Arabidopsis thaliana: one gene and its partners. The protein of the gene in region 3 purifies or fractionates together with the protein of the main gene of each other region. This does not show direct contact. Each region holds a gene or a part of one and is shown on either strand. Other genes may lie near its edges.

Region 1 (4,835 bases), on a different chromosome or scaffold from region 3:
CTTCCAACAAAAATAAACCCAATAATTTTTATTTTCGCATATTAATTAATTTAGATGACAGCAGCTTGAGCTTAGAGAGGGACCCAATCATTGAATCAAGAAAAAGAGAAAAAAAAAAGGGCAAAGAGAAGAGAATAGAAGAAAAAGTACGACCGTATATCGACAGTGAGGTTAATGGTTGATGATGAGATCTTATTAAAGTCTCAAGTGGGTCACTTGATTCTCACAACGTGTCTTGTCCTTTGAATCTCCTTCATTTTTCTTTCTTTCTTTCATTACTATATTTTTTTTAATCCTCTAACTCTCTCTCTAACATTCTTTAACATGCTCAAAGTTTGGGAAACATCTTAATCAAAGAGTGAAGAAATGGTTTCACTCAACTCTGCAAACCTAACATGTCCCATTGAGGTTATATCATCTAAAGATTCTTCATTCCACACCCACTGGTGTTTCACCTAACCAGGTTTACTAAACCGAAATCTCATACTTAGGCCAGGGCACTCATACACACCGGATGCATCTTAAGGATTATGTGTCTCATAAAAGATTGTCTTAATATCATTAACTCAAGTTAAGCATGATACAACATATTTTGAGTGTTGCCCTAAGAAATATTTATACATGTAAACGAAACTCTTCACCTTGCATGTCTCTCTTCCCTGGCTTCAAGCGCATCAACTTCCTCACTTGTTAGCAGATCCACAACTGGTTCATAAACATCCAAGTCTTTCCTTTTCCTGTCAAGATCATGGACAAAATTTGTTATTTTTGGATTCTGTTATAGCTTTTGCTTGGTCTTGCAAGTCAAATTTGTTCGTGTCCATAAATCTTATTTTTTGAAAAACTCCCATTTAGTGATAAGCAATGCAGGAAGAGAACTTCTTCAATTTCCACAGAGTTTATTTTGTAATCAAACAATTTCCAACCTAGTGATTCGGTTTTCTATGTTCAATAACAACATGTAACATCACCAGAAATTACTATTAGAACAATCTCAGTAGGGACCAGCTCCAAATATTGGGATAATCTACTATCAAATGATATAATGCATGAAGAGGTGGCATTCAAGAGTATGTGTAAGAAAAACGCTCAGGATGTGTCGCAAAGTTAACTTATCTTATAAACGATCTAGCTGCTAGAAGTCAGTCGTCCAACAGATCTTAAGAAGACAATGCAACAGAGAAAATGTATGCATTAAGTGGGTAAGAAAATCACTTACCGAACTACACTGGACTTAAAACTGAATAACTTCATTAAGTCCATTGACAGGCCACTTGCCTTGCTGCACATATAAGATGGAAAGTTATTTTAGAATTTTTTGAGCTAGGCTCTAATATTACCACAAGGTAACTTGGATAGACAAATAGGGGCAACGTGAACATACCTCGCTGAACCATGATCAGATCCTCTGCGGCCTTTCTTGCTTAATCTACTCTCCCTAGCTGAAGCCACACTTTGAATTGCAATCTGGCAAGCAAAAACAACGACATGGTAACTCAGTAAGTTTGGCATTCTTGTTCAAAATAGAAAACATATATAGAGTATACAGAAATACAGAGAGAGTAGCTTAAAGTTACAATCAAAGTTTTAACCTCGTAAAGTTGTTCCCTTATTGCAAAGGCAACAGCAGGCTTCAGAGAGAAGGAGAAACCAAAAATCACTTGTATCAAACGTTTGAAACTTAGGTTCATTAGTTCAGATAATGAAATGTAAAAAATTGAGTGGTTATCTTACTCCAACTTCAGGGTCTTCAACACCTAAATCCTTGCACAAGGTTCTTGCAAATTCCTCAGGATCACTCTCAAAATTGTTTAGGTCCTGCAAAACGGCAATCAAGCTGCACTGAGAAAAAGAGTACAAACAATAGTTGAAATTGTTCAAAATCACCAAGTATTCTCACCCATAAGAACTGATCCTTGATGAGAGTATGGTTAACTCGGAGATCAAGCTGGCACAAAAAAGAAAGAAAGATAGCTTATCAGCTTCTAGAACTTCTTTTTTTCCAACAAATCACTCATGGACAAAAGAGAGAGGGATAAGGATATCTAGCGTCATAAAACCTTAATTGGTATGATTTTTTCACCAGTGTACATGTCTTGTCCTTCATAAGCCCGAAAGTCTGAGAGCTGAGACTGATAAAGCAGGAAGTTGACCAATGTAAGTAGAGATTTCTGAAGAAATTATTCCAATACTTACAAAAACAGAACAGAACATAACTGAAGCAAGAGTACATTCATCACAAAAGCACAGTCTTACAGATATACATCCCAAAGTACAATGCTATAAACAGGCCTCTTCTCGAGTAAAAAAACCTAAAGAGTTAAAAACAATAAGTCGAAAGTGTGATTGGTTTAAGACTAATAGGTGACCTTAAATTTAAGCTCATCTCTATGACAAGCAAAAGAACTAACAACAAAATCAGAGCAGAAGAAAAACTAAAGATAGGTCAGTGTGAACTAGTTTAGAAACAACCTGAATAGATTGGGCAATCTGAGTGACAAATGCATAGGGAAGTTTCAAGTCTTTAACAGTTCTTTTGGCAAAGATAACGACTTCATTATCCGGGTCTGTATCCAAAACCAAAAACAAGAATCAGTGAATCACATACACTGCTACTGTAATAAGATGCGAGAAGATGGAAAACAAAAAAAAAGGTAGGGTTTTTAAGAGAGAAACCTGAAGGGTTCCAAGTGAAAGCATCTTTGTAACGCTGACCTTCGAATTGAATGTCCAATCGAATAGGTACCAAGTTTTCAGCAGTGGGCCTATAGCTCCGATTACAAATCGATTCATCAGAAAAAACAAAAACACATGAACTCGATTTCGATTTCAAAACAAACAAAGTAGAGGAAGCGACGAAACTTACATCCTGAACTTGACGGGACCTTTCCAACCAGTAGACACTAAACCCTTCATCCTTAAACCCCCAAATTTCACAAATTGAGTTTCGAAGAGAGTCAGCGAGAGAGTGTGGGAAATTTCAATTTCTCGATCTTTTTCCGGCGCTAGCTTAATTTATTTCAGAATCACCCTTATATTCTAATGTCTTTACACATTTCACCTCTAATTTGGAATTTTCCCATTTTGGGACGAATTATCTGGATCCGATCCTACGATCAATTGCAGCATTTGGGCTTTAAACGAGCTTGTTAGTCATTTAGTGGGCTTTAAATGGGCTCAACATTAAAATTGTACATTGGTGACAACCAACGAGACGGCTGCCGGCAGATCAAAGAGAATCATTCTCTTCCTGACAACGTTCCTCTATTCCATGTTCGTGCTCCCCATAACAACGTTCGTGTACTTTTTTCCTAGTCATGTAACACATTCGAAGAAACACACGATTACAAACATATAAAAAATCTTTGCATTATTATTATTCAGAACAAAAAAGAGAAGTCTTGGATATTGTGATTTATTTATAAGAAAAAACACACTCAAAGGTGTCATATAAATAAATATATGCATCAATCAATTCTCCAACTTCTTCAAGGCCTTTGTTGCAATATGCAGCAATAGCTCCGTCCCGCCTCAAGTCTCTTCATCAATGCCTAAATCTTACACGTCTCGTAACTGCGCAATCACAGCCTTGACCGATCCAAGTTTTAATACCTCTCCGGTCTCGTGATCTTTAGTCTTCTCACGGTTTCAAGAAACATACTAAACAAAAACATCGATTTCAAAAATTAGAGAATAGCTATAACCGAGGAAATTATACCAATGTAAGATCAAGATATAAGATTCATACTCCCATGGAATATCTCCGACCATCATCCAATCTCCATCCTTGTCTTCATATGTCAAAACATGATGTTTTCGATCTCGATTACCGCCTGTTATAGCCAAGACAATGCATGGATATACTTCAAACTGTTTGAATTTAGTTGAATGTTGTTTTTACGGAATTATGTGTTGTTCATTAATTACTTACAGATGATTGAAGTATCGAACATGTGAGAGAGATTTTCTAATAGACTCTCGTAGCCTGAGAATACGCAAAGGTCGAGTTTTCTTCCAATGGGAACACCTTCCATATAAACCTTAACAAAGAGAGAAGTGTCATCACCACGACGAAGAAGACGACGACCCTTTAGTGTATCTCTTAATCTAGACTTTATCGGTGGCCAATCTTGTCTTGCTTCTCTACAAAAAAATAAAGATTTAAAACACAAATGTGAACAAAAGAAAACAGAGCAAAAACAGAACATAGGAAAAAACAGAGAAGTGATGTGAATAAGACCTTTGTGGAGAAGTAGAAGGAAATGTGAGACTAAGGGAGAGATTAACAGAAGATTCAGAAGGAGAAGGTTTAGTACTGTCGACAGAGGATGAAGAAAATGAAGAACAAGAGTTAGAGACCTCCATTAATGAGACCTTGAAGCTGCAGAGCTAGCTTCATGCTTCCTTCTCTTCTCTATTGAGAGTGCTCTTCATGTCTCTCTCTCTCTATTTCTATTTCTCTCTGTCTAGTTAAACAAAAAAGGACTAGTAGGTGATTCTATTGCATAGATTTTGAATTTAAAAATTGATTTAATCGACTTTGAAATTTAATATAAATAAATAATAGGAACATAAGGTTCCCCACATTTAACTATGAACTTTCAACCTTCTAAATATGAACACACATTGATTTCTGAAAACCACTGTAATAATTACCCGATTAGATACTTAATTCATGGGTTTAGATCTTTGGAGTTAGTTAGTAGTAAAAATGTGAAATTATGGTTTTGAGATTTGTTTACATGTAAGATTCGAAGTTTCCGTAAAAAGGTGGTATCCAAGGAAAGTGTGTCTAAATGATGTTGGAGTTAATCTGTTAAGGCTTTGATTTTAAT
Region 2 (4,576 bases), on a different chromosome or scaffold from region 3:
GTGGAGCCAACATTTTGTGCAACCTTGAGATCTGCTCCTCTTGATTAATATCTTTGAACTCCTCCTGGAACTCCTCCAAACTTCCAAACTGCAAGTATTGTGCAATCAAATAACATGTTAGCTACATAAAATTCTGTTAAGTATGCGAACTTATTTATCTTTGCTATTCTTGTGATACCTTCCCCGCATCAAGAAAATGCATGAGCATGAAAAGTTCATCCAAGTTGTTCTGTAAAGGCACCACATAATCATCAGTAACATATTGCAACTAATCAGGTAAGACATTAGTGCAAGATAATATATAACAATTCTCATTGCAAATCGTAGCTACTATGCTCAGATACAACTATTGAAAGTATAAACTTCAGAAATCAAACTCAAATGACGAACCTGAAGTGGTGTTCCTGTCAGAAGAATACGGTGGTTACTTGAATACTGTGTCAATGAAGAGAACAGCTTTGAATCCTTATTTTTCAGTCGATGACCTTCATCAACAATCTGCCCAAAACAATTGTTACTAGGCAACATGTAAGAGAGAAAGAGAGACGACTAAGAGAAAGTAAAGTCTCATTAGAGAATAAGAGTTACCATGCACTCCCACTTAATTGGTTTTAGAACTGCTGAATCTAGGTTGATCATCTCATACGATGTGAGGAGGACATCAAACTTGATTCTTTTTTGCTTGCTTTCGCTACTTATTTGTCCAGATTTCTTTTTCTTGATCTTTTTTTGATCTTTCGATAAGTAAAACTCATGTTCTCTGATAACTGCTCGAGCTTGCGCAGTGCCAAAATACATAACCTACCCGTCAAATGACCACGAAGACCATTCCATTAACAAACAACAAAAACATACAAATGGCACAGATCATTGCGTGTATAACTGCATACATACCACGTTCATCTGTGGGGCCCATGTGGCAAACTCTCTCTCCCAGTTACGCAGAGTCGATAGAGGAGCAATTACCAAATGCGGAATGAGGTTCTCCTCAAAAAGTGAAGCTAAAAGGGCAATGCTTTGAATTGTCTTGCCTGTAACAGGAAAAATCTCACAACATTACAGGAATAGAAAACAAAGGCCCCTTACAATGGATGAAAAGATCTATGTGACCACCCAAGTGGGACAATTGAAAAATTACCTAGTCCCATTTCATCAGCAAGGATTACATGCGTCTGTTTTGACCACGAGAACCGCAAAAAATTAAGTCCCTCAAGCTGGTATGGATGTAACAAGCCTTCAATCGCAGGAAACAAATAAATCATAACATCTATAAGTACCAAATATAAGAAACATTTATAGTATATGATTTAAGGTGATCCAAATACCTTTGAGGAATTCAGGAGTATGATCAAACTGTTGAAAGTCTCTGGGATTTCTTTTATGGTCAACATCTTTACTTCTGCGAGTTCTAGAATTTACATCCTTGAACCTTTGAATTTCATTCTGGAAGGTTGAGATGTCTGATTCTGACTCCCAATAACATTCATCATAGGATAGCTCTTTATATTTGACAAGATATTCCAGCTCCCCATCTTCCTCTCTATATCATAAAAGAAACCAATGCAACTGTCACAATTCCTGATTTACGAAACAACTAAGAAAATGGTAACTTAAAAAGAAGAAAAAAAAGGTAAGCAGGTCATTTATCATGTTTCAGAGACCCAAAATCGTGATAACAGTAAATTTAGGTTAAGCAGCACTCTATCAAAGATACGTGTTTATTAGAGAATGGATTATGCTGAAAACAAGGATATTAAAAAAAAAGTTGGCAGATAGATAAATAAAGGAATTAATTCCATTCTCTAGACCTGCAGGCAAGAATCCGATCAACAGTGGTCCACTCAGGACGTATGGCAACAAAATCATCTTCGCTGTTATTGAATGACTCCATTTGACGGTGAAAATTGTTCACTCTGGTTTTTAAACGATGATTTGACTTATAAGCCTTCTGGAACTCCTTCTCAGGCACCCTATGATTAGTAAAAGGAAATAAATCACATATTATAGTGTTCACAGAAAGAAACATTGATAATTAGCGTGTCCAGACAGCAAAAAAGACACGCAGTAACTACCAAGAGCAGTGAAGGTATGATAATCCCTTCCACTTCACGAGATACTGTTTCACAAAAATTGGCTTCGGTTCCGCATCGGAGGAACCTTGTTCACTAGATTTTGTAGGACGCATTTCACAATCCAATATCTTATCTATCTCGTTAAGAGGACTAACCTGCAAATGTAAACAACAATTCTTCCATGTAAGAAAAATGGAACCTGTAGCATCCCAAAACATAATTGTGGACCGTAACTAAAATCTTACACATTCAGGGCATCTCCAATTTTCCACGGAAGCATCTTTAAGAGGTGGAACTAAGCATTTAGCATGGAACGCATAAGTGCATGTATTGCAGCTTACAAGATTAGTACTTTCCCCACAAGCCTGACATGCATTTTCTTTCTACAAATTCAGAGTAACAACACAAAAAAAAGGATTAAAATAGAACACATAAAACAGTAAAAGCTGAACAATAAGCTCGAGAGGAGAAACAAACCGCATCAGTTCTGACAATAGCCTCGACTTGCTCAAAGGTTCGATCTTTTTTAGGAACGAAGTCGTCATCATCAGAATCATCTAGGTTATAAACTGGTTTCCTATCAGATCGTATGCGAAGCCTCTCCACCAAACTACTCATTTTCTGCACACAAAACATATCTCCCATCAATAACAACAAACTTACATAAACAACACATATAACAATAGACTCAGTGCTAGTTCTGAGACTTAAGCAAACTATGAAATTAGAGTTTCACACAATTGAACTCTACTACCTAAACAAACATCACAGTGAAATTTTTTGTTCCCAATCTAAAACCTTTACAACTATATCAAGAGATAGTTCGTACAATAGCTACTAAACAACTCGATTCATCAAACTCTATACCACATGAGCAAGATCGACTAACCTTGTGAAAGAGAACGAGAGAGAAATTGGAAAAAACCCTAGCCAAAATTACCCATAAGAATAAACAATTGAGCATCGAAATGTGAGTACCCAGAAGTCGAATTAACAATCTCTTACCGCAATATCATGAAAAGATCAAAACTTTACAAAACCCAAACAGTTTCAAACTCAGTTTGTAACGAAAATTTGAAAGAAAGGAAGAGAAAAATAGTAACTTGAGAAGTAATTTGAGAAGTCGAAAGCGATATTACTAGTCGAAGATAGAGTAAAAAGTGAAGCAGAGAAGAGTGTGGAAGAGAAGGAGAAGACGAACCTTTGAAATGGTTGGGATCTGTTTTTGCAGAAGAAGAAAGTAATCCGAAACGAACGAAACTTGAAAATTCAGACAACACAAATGATTTCTAACATTTAGCTTACCAATTTTAACTTATGGTTATTATTAACTTTAATACACTTCTTAAGGTATAAAATATCACCTCTAATTAAATTACCTTCTCAATATCATTATTTTTTCACACACAAAAAACTTACTTTTTTGTTTGAAAAAATTATAATTACTTCTAACTTATAAAAATAAGTGTCAAAAATAATGACAATTACTTTTCACTTACCCAATATTGTTATTATATAAACTTAGATATTTTTAAATATTTAAGTTTATTTACCTTTTCCCCTCAAAGAGGCTAGAGGAAGATTTAACATGCTTTGCTTGGTTTCGCTATTTATCATGGAGCTGAAATCTCTTGACGTGGGTTCACTCCTTGTTGGTGCTAATTATGGAGAAGATTTTGAGACAAGGTTTAAAACAATATTGAAGGAAGTATATGCTTCGAATGGGCAAACAATCTTGTTCATTGATGAGATTCACATTGTTATTGGTGCAGGTGCTCTTTCTTTTTTTGATTCAGATTATACATTAATAGATGACCTTTTTATTTATACACAATACTTGTATGCATTTTTTTACTCTGACCAAGTAAAACGTTTTGTATAAATGGTTTTGATGGGTGGTAACTCTATAAAAATGATTTTTCATCTCATTAGAAGAATACTGCATCGAACAATTATTGAGGATTAACACTGGAGATGAACAATTATGTCTACTAAGTATTTCTTGTATAATCTTGTGTCTCTATACTAATGAGTTATTACTCTTGTGTAGGAGCTACTTGTGGAGGCGTGGAGCAATAGAAGCGAGCAACTTCTTGAAACCGTTGCTTAGACCAGGTGAGCTGAGATGCATTGGTGCAACTATGTTTGTTATATCCACCTTAACTTATTTAGCTTAAACTTAACCAACCAAACCCACTAACACTTGTGGGGCTATAATTCACTTACGGCCCAATGGCCTTATTACAAAACACAAATCCAACTCCGTTCTTATGTTGGATTTGTGTCGTTGACTCTTCTTCCTCCTTTGGTCAGTGGTCACGACAACTTCTTATTCTCTTCTTCCTCCTTTGGTCACGACATCTTCTTCTTCTCTTCTTCCAAGCTTGGCTTCTTCTCTTTTCTTCATCTTCTTCTTCTCATGAAGCTTTCTTCTTCTTGTAGGATTTAATCTAGGATTCAATCTCCAACGACATTGACCAAAAATATATAGAGAGATATCCAAC
Region 3 (6,834 bases):
CCAAAATTTAGATACTGATTTCATCGCTGATGGACTAGATTTAGAAGAAGGGGAAATCGTCGAATGATGGTCATAGTCTTGTTCTGGCAAAAAGGAATTACTCTCTGTGAAACATTTTTGAGGATTATGTTCATGCCTGAAGCTCTCTTGTTCGAGCACATTAGCTATACTTGGTAATAGCCAAAGCTTTTACTGGAATGCAATAAGCCACAGCACTGATGGTCATAAGTTTTCGGTCTGGGCTTTGATCAACAGGTATTTCTTTTGTAGTAAACCAGATTACTAGGCTGTTCTGTGGTTTGTAGCAAACTTGATTGTTTACATACAAGATAGTTAACTTAAGAATGTCTCCGAAACTTTTGTTCAGTCTTATCCTCCTATAGATCCTCATAAATTAATCTTGTTGTCTTTCAGATCTTCTTTATAGTCAATGTAATACAGACCAAACCTTGTAGTTTGCCCAAAAGTTTTCTAGCAACGGACCAGAAGGATCAACAATAGATATAATCTATGAACGGATATTATATGTAAAGAGTAAATAAGCAAGAGAGCATACATGTAAACAACAATATCAAAAATTGCAATCTAGATCATACAGATTTGAAGAGAAATTATTTCATGGATTACATTTGAGAGTAAACAAATAAGTCCACTACGGAATCATTAAAATTCTCTTAATATATACATTGCAACCGGTTCAATTCAACTCAACCCACTCTGCAGGCTCCTAAGGACTTTGAAATCCCTCAAGCTTAAAAAGAAGAACTAAAGAGTTGACCTGAGAACAATGGCACGGATCTAAATGAGTTTATGTATGCCAACCAGACGGCGCTTTAATCTCTCCAAGCCTCCTTCTCTGCTTGAAAATCATCAAACATCTATTTCATTAGCATTAATGTATTGAGTATCATTATTCTTTTGATTTCACATATTTATTGCATTCACGACTGGAACCATGAGTTTTATATCGATGAGGTAAATATCAGGAAGTTGGGGAATAGAATAGCTCACCTCTTATTGGTTAGAGGAATACTGACATCTCTGTAGAAGGGATAAAGGGAAGAATCCTATCACCATAGAGTTCGTGCAGTTTCACCAATAGCCGTCCGGAATCAAGATCATCTTTCCATATCTGATCAAGGATTGCTTTCATGGTAATAGCCCGACTCCTGCCGCTTTCTTTCACCTTTCCATTTCTGCTTTCAGATTCGTTAGCATCAGAGGCTTGTTCTGATGAGGATGGCTGAACAGAGTTTTGTGGCGGATTGTCATTTTCCACTGGATTATCTACTTGCATTGGAGCTGAGCCAGATTGATCTTGTGAATGTACACCATCTGGCCCATCCATGGTTATCAATCTTTTCTGCGGTGATTGGTTTTCTGAAGAATCTACACTCAGCTTCCGCTTGTGGGGATCAGTACTGATTATCTTTCCCTTTCCCTTTCCCTTATGGAGAAAACTTGGTGACGGAGATGGTAAAGGTGGGAAGATTTTAAGCCGGCCATGTATACACAAGCCTGCAGCACGCTGAAAAGAAAAAGGGGGCAAGTCCATCTAAGGATTGTCCACTGAGAATTCTACAAAGATGAAATTTTACAAGGATGTGTTTACTAACCAGCAAGGCTCCATATACACGCCAAGCTTCGTAGATCTTCATCTGATTTTTTTGCTTCTCAGCATTCAATTCAGGTTCGAGAAGACTTAGATATGGTTCGAGATTTGATAGAATAAGAAGGCGTACCTACACAATATATGACATTCAGATGACAACAGATAACAATGCAGGATAGCTGTGCTAAAGTTTTTGGTAGCAGGGGTATCTGATTCACTGGAGTAGCCGTTTAAGACGATAAAAGTCCTAATTTCCCAATAAAATGAATAAGCAAACCCGGAAAAATGGTATGGGCAAATCAAATTGTATCTCAGATTCTGAAAAGTCCCTAGATTGAAGGACAAGCTGGGTAACATTATTTCTCGGTGATATCTGAAATAGCATGCACAAACTTTCTGAAAGGTCAAGGAATGACTTACAACAGTGTGCCCCAAAGCTGCTAATCCTTGAATCGCACCATAGTGCTGAGTCAAAGCCTTCTTTGGGTCCAGCAGTGCATTGACTAAAGTTCTGGTAAGACGAGACTGAAGAGTTATATAAACGGTTCCATACCTGCAAGATTTTATTAAAATCACAGGATTTCAGATGCTAAAAGAATATAAAGGTGAGATATGTAAAATAAAAGTGCGAGACAATGTACCCTTTTAAATAATGAAGAAGACTATAGCAAGTTATTACTAATTGTTGTTAATATAGATCTAACCATTTGTTTTTCAGCTCGAGCAAAAAAGAAGTAGATATCAATAGTAAAGAGATCAAACAAGATAAACTTAGCAGAACATCTATGGATAATCATCTCATGATATTTCCTTATAGAATTTCATTATTAGCTCCAGTAAGAAATCATGTATAGATCCCCACAATCAACCAAAACAAACACAGAGTTCATGACATGAAAGGGAAATAATGAACCTTTTACATATCAGTGAAACCAGATTTGCCGCAAAATCTCTGAGTTCCCAGTGGTTGTCAGCAAATCTATTTCCAAGCTTTCTTGATACAAGGCATGTTACAACAGATGGCATCAACTGGTGCAGCTGGCACCAAAAGAAAAAGTTCACTCAGCTTCATGGTTATGAAACATTGCTCAAACAACCAACTCATTATCCCAAGGCTGGTTTACATAATCTCAATACAGATCAAAGGCAAAACTTGTTGTTATTTCAAGCAGACTGAGAGTACTTAAGCACTCGAGCTTGCAGACCTCGGACAAACACTACCACTAACCATTTGATACCCATTATATAGAATATGTCTAATATAGAACTTGAAGAAACCCAAATCAGAAGCCTAAAGAAAATGGAGCTACATGATTCTACAATTTTTTAGATAGTGGCAAAAGATAATCCAGAGAAAACTTACATAAGGTTCTATGTGTATGTGAGGATTCTGTAGAAGACTTCTAACAATGTGCATTAGATTAAACAGGAGTCGGAAGTCATTTAAGCCATTTGAAACCTGCACAAGTGGAGAAAATTAAAACTGCAAAAACTTAACGTGGGTCTTATTGGTTCACACTAGTTCCTCGGTGGTGCATAATGTTACCTCATCAGCAATGAAATTTGTAAAATATGGAACTAGAGGATGAAGTCCTGAGTCTGAGGCCAAGCTCACTAATGCTTCTTTATACAGAGGAGGATTTGACTTGCTCATTGCAAGTTCAGCAATCTTTTGGAAGTATAACTGTGAAGAGAGAACAACAGATAAGTCCTATGTATGTAAGGATATTACCCTATGATATTTAGACTGCACCATATACCTGAAGTTCCCTAGATAGTACATGCTTCACTGGTAGCCTAACGTCAATAAGAGGTCCGTCTTTTTGTTCATGGATTTTGGTTTCTGCAGGTGCTCTAATGACTAGAGACAACACAAACAAGTGAAAAATATAGTCAAGATAGGAAAGAACAAGGATTTCTTGCTCATGCGGATCCGCAAAACAATAATACAGATGGATCTGAAAATATGTATTTTGATCTTTCAGTAACATCAGTAAGCTCACCACTTAACACGGGGTAACTGTAGAAAGAGGTTTATACACCTCTGAAACGTCATTGTACATACTAATATTTGTTTCATGTTGAAAAATTCATATAATGACTTTACAACTCTAGCCCAGGGCATAAGATTGAGAGACAAACCTTCTAAAGGAGCATTTTCTGGTATAGCTGGTTGCACTCCTTCAATAGCCAGCCAGTGACAAACAATTTCAGTATCAAGGGGAGCTTTTGGCAGCGGGGCTTCGATCACCTAGAATCATGACATTTCTTGAAAACATAAGGAACCCAAAATGAAGAATTTAACTGAAACAAAAAAAACATGCCAGCTTTTCCAACATCTTACATCTTTGAAATCCACTTCTCTGTCATCAGTGTAGAACAAATCGCGATGTCCAATAGCTTTTCTAAAACGAAATGGCCCTCCTGAGGCAAATCCATATATCGGCTGCAATAGATATAATCACTCTCAAAAAGATGCCTTTGATTCAGTTGACTACAATAGTGAAATATGTGAAAGCAATGTGTAACAGATGGTGTTATTCATATGCACCAGTAAAGCCAAACCTCAAAACTAGAAACCATATATCTTTGTCACTCAACTACAAAAACCAGGAAGCTTACACAACCAAAACTCTAGATAATGGGAAGTAAGAAATAGGTCATCGAGTTTGTACCTCAACGTTCCTTAAGTTGAGAGCACCATCTACATCCGAAGCTGTTAAAGTCGTTCTCTTTGAGTGACGCATGCATTTGATAGCTTCCTGAAAGGACATCCAAAGAGAAGGTACAGAAAGATCAATATGCTGATACCAGAAAACTCACCTCAAGAACACAAAGACATGATTAGAAAAAGAAGGTAACCTGCATGATCTCTCGGACACGATACTCAACATCAGGAGCAAGCATAAGAGCAGCTTCAGGTAACAAGTTGGTAATCCCAATACTTTGAGCTATTACCTCAACCGTTTCCTTAGGTACAATGCTCATCTTCCCCAGGCTGCTTATCCACTGTGGCGATACAAGGACACAGAAGAAACATCAACAGTGGTTATATTAAGTAAGAAAAAAGCACAAAAAATCATTGGAACCTCCCAATTAAACCATTGTTGGGCATACACAATGAATCGCAATTCAACAGCCCAGAAGACAAAGGCTGCTTCCATACTCCGTAAAAGTGTGAAATTTGTCCCGTTAACCAAAATTCGAGCACAAAAATAAGTTGGAAATTTACATGAACCGGAGAGGGATTTGCGTTGAGCGACGAAGATCCAGACACTTCACTTGAGAGGAAAGAAGCTCCGATTAACCGATGCCAAGCCTCTTGTTAATATAAGAAGCCGGGCCGGGTTTTTTAATTGCTGTCAAATTCACCCGGTTGGACTATTTCGGGTTAAATTAAATTTGGGCTGTCTCTATATCTATTTTGGGCCAAGGCCCAATAAGAGCGAAATATTTTATTTCTCTGCCAACTAAAGACAATTAATCCTACGAGAAAGGACGAAACAAATGTTTCAAGACAGTAGTTCTGTCTTCTGTGGTAGTTCTTTCTATTTTCTACACAAACAAAATTGATCCAAACACAAAAGGAAAAAGGAGCACAAAAGTCCAAATCAATGAAGACATCAACATACGTGAAAGCCTTAATCACACTCTTTCTTTACAAACATCAAGACCAAATATAATTAGGGGCAAACCAAATTGTTGGTGGATGCAATAACATATGTAGATTTTTCTTCTTTTTACATGAAAAAATAATTGCCAGTCCCAGTATCAGAATTTGGGACGAATACAAGCAATTTCTTTGTATATCAACCAAAATAATATTAGGATAGTCCTGAAACATCCCGTACCCAAGATATTCCACCTGGAAACGCTCTATGAACTCTGCTTCTTCCCGCTGCAGTGACTTTTGTTTTTTCCCCCATCACCATAATTTCTTTCGCCATAACCGGCTTGTGTATTACATTTGCATCCTCTTTGCCTTCCGTCAGAAACCGCAGACCCTGGAGTTTCCATAGTTTTATAGTTTTAGAAAGCCAAAGAAACATCATGACATGAAATCATCAAATAACAGCTACTACCACAAGTATTTTCAGGTTCCAATTTTTATTCGAATAAGCTTGATGAGAGATTGCCTTGAATATATGCAAATTCAAGATCAACCATCTCGTTGAATTTTTTCACTATAAGCAACTTTTTTGCGTCAACAGAATGGAAATGCACATTTATATGATGGAAAAAGGTATAGTAGCATTCTTACAGAGAGAGAAGTATTAGTGGATGGTTTTCCATCAATAGGTAATCTCTCACCAACATCCTAAACCACAAAGCCAGAAACAAGATTTTTTTCATTAAGGCCTATAACTACGTGAAAAATAAGTAAGAAAACGTTTCACTTAATTTGTAAGTTAACACTCACCTGAAATACTTTAGTACTTGTGCTGTCTTTAACGCCTGCAACTTGACATAGATGCCATAGTCCAGAGAGGGTCACATCCTAAAATTTTAACAAAAAAAATATCTGTTTGAGATCAATTAGTTTTAAGAAAATTGATAGCGTGAAGTGGTTTGTAGTATCTAATGGTTGTAGACAAATTACTTGTTTGCTTTCAAGACTTTCAATCTTCCCTTCCTGTAAAAATTTCATATAAGAGAGTAAAGATATATTAGCCCCTTTAAAATATGCATATTAGAGGGCAATGATGCATATTAGAGGGCAATGATGAGACTTACTATTCCAGAAATCATTTCATTAAGTTGCTTAAAATCAAACCCAATTTGCGAAATGCTTGATCTCATCTCAGTAACCTGAATTGAAGCAAGATTCCATGTGAGCATTAGCATTAAAATGAATATCAAAGAAAGGCATAGATGGAGTAAATCGCAGATATGAGAATCAAGCTGTAATTTGAAAGAAACAAAGGACTCTACTGTACATGTGAAGAAAAACAGTTCAGGGCCAAAGAGATAGGACGTTAATAAATAAATACTCTACAATCTTTTGGAATTCCTAAATGTGTTTTAAATTCTTCTAAGATGTTAAATGTACAAGAGGAGATCTCTCTCAGACGAATGTATAAGTATCCTAATCTTAAGTCTAAGGAAAAAATAAGGCATCAATACAAGAAAGTGAGAAATAAAACGGGTTCCTTACATCACTTAAGATCATTTTAGATGTCTCATTCTGCTCTTCCACCTTCCAATCCAAGGTCGCTAGCTTC

The links. Proteins that work in one complex are often made in the same cells at the same time.
Region 1: the proteins of TAFII59 (region 3) and BSH fractionate together in Arabidopsis thaliana (co-fractionation; one large-scale study listed by BioGRID). This does not show direct contact.
Region 2: the proteins of TAFII59 (region 3) and PKL fractionate together in Arabidopsis thaliana (co-fractionation; one large-scale study listed by BioGRID). This does not show direct contact.

Annotation. Positions count from the first base shown.
Region 1 is NC_003074.8:6,016,676-6,021,510, forward strand, and holds BSH (transcription regulatory protein SNF5, putative (BSH)), read right to left. Parts: upstream 2,992-4,835; 5' UTR 2,917-2,991; coding exon 2,867-2,916; intron 2,772-2,866; coding exon 2,677-2,771; intron 2,568-2,676; coding exon 2,473-2,567; intron 2,133-2,472; coding exon 2,061-2,132; intron 1,949-2,060; coding exon 1,901-1,948; intron 1,819-1,900; coding exon 1,735-1,818; intron 1,632-1,734; coding exon 1,593-1,631; intron 1,468-1,592; coding exon 1,385-1,467; intron 1,283-1,384; coding exon 1,220-1,282; intron 738-1,219; coding exon 638-737; 3' UTR 537-637; downstream 1-536. Other genes in the region: IAA31 (indole-3-acetic acid inducible 31), read right to left, coding at 3,606-3,660, 3,749-3,833, 3,932-4,143, 4,241-4,365. UniProt on the Arabidopsis thaliana protein: Component of a multiprotein complex equivalent of the yeast SWI/SNF complex, an ATP-dependent chromatin-remodeling complex, which is required for the positive and negative regulation of gene expression of a large number of genes.
Region 2 is NC_003071.7:10,712,525-10,717,100, reverse strand, and holds the start of PKL (chromatin remodeling factor CHD3 (PICKLE)), read right to left. Parts: upstream 3,037-4,576; coding exon 2,962-3,036; intron 2,694-2,961; coding exon 2,550-2,693; intron 2,456-2,549; coding exon 2,318-2,455; intron 2,228-2,317; coding exon 2,073-2,227; intron 1,971-2,072; coding exon 1,809-1,970; intron 1,541-1,808; coding exon 1,326-1,540; intron 1,235-1,325; coding exon 1,139-1,234; intron 1,032-1,138; coding exon 895-1,031; intron 802-894; coding exon 589-801; intron 499-588; coding exon 391-498; intron 230-390; coding exon 179-229; intron 89-178; coding exon 1-88. Other genes in the region: AT2G25169 (uncharacterized protein), read left to right, coding at 3,087-3,170, 3,643-3,758, 4,123-4,187, 4,386-4,495. UniProt on the Arabidopsis thaliana protein: Chromatin remodeling factor that represses the expression of embryonic trait genes (such as NFYB9/LEC1) upon and after seed germination and thus enables the developmental switch to post-germinative growth. Silences some MADS-box proteins such as PHE1 and PHE2.
Region 3 is NC_003070.9:1,402,585-1,409,418, forward strand, and holds TAFII59 (TATA BOX ASSOCIATED FACTOR II 59), read right to left. Parts: upstream 4,948-6,834; 5' UTR 4,845-4,947; exon of another isoform or gene 4,622-4,844; 5' UTR 4,601-4,621; coding exon 4,475-4,600; intron 4,375-4,474; coding exon 4,288-4,374; intron 4,059-4,287; coding exon 3,957-4,058; intron 3,864-3,956; coding exon 3,755-3,863; intron 3,474-3,754; coding exon 3,373-3,473; intron 3,297-3,372; coding exon 3,159-3,296; intron 3,072-3,158; coding exon 2,976-3,071; intron 2,651-2,975; coding exon 2,526-2,650; intron 2,166-2,525; coding exon 2,033-2,165; intron 1,743-2,032; coding exon 1,617-1,742; intron 1,529-1,616; coding exon 1,022-1,528; 3' UTR 1,012-1,021; intron 857-1,011; 3' UTR 501-856; downstream 1-500. Other genes in the region: AT1G04945 (HIT-type Zinc finger family protein), read left to right, coding at 1-67; AT1G04960 (golgin family A protein (DUF1664)), read right to left, coding at 5,437-5,616, 5,874-5,930, 6,033-6,110, 6,213-6,245, 6,347-6,421, 6,768-6,834. UniProt on the Arabidopsis thaliana protein: TAFs are components of the transcription factor IID (TFIID) complex that is essential for mediating regulation of RNA polymerase transcription. Required for proper pollen function. May stabilize the interaction of TFIID with selected promoters.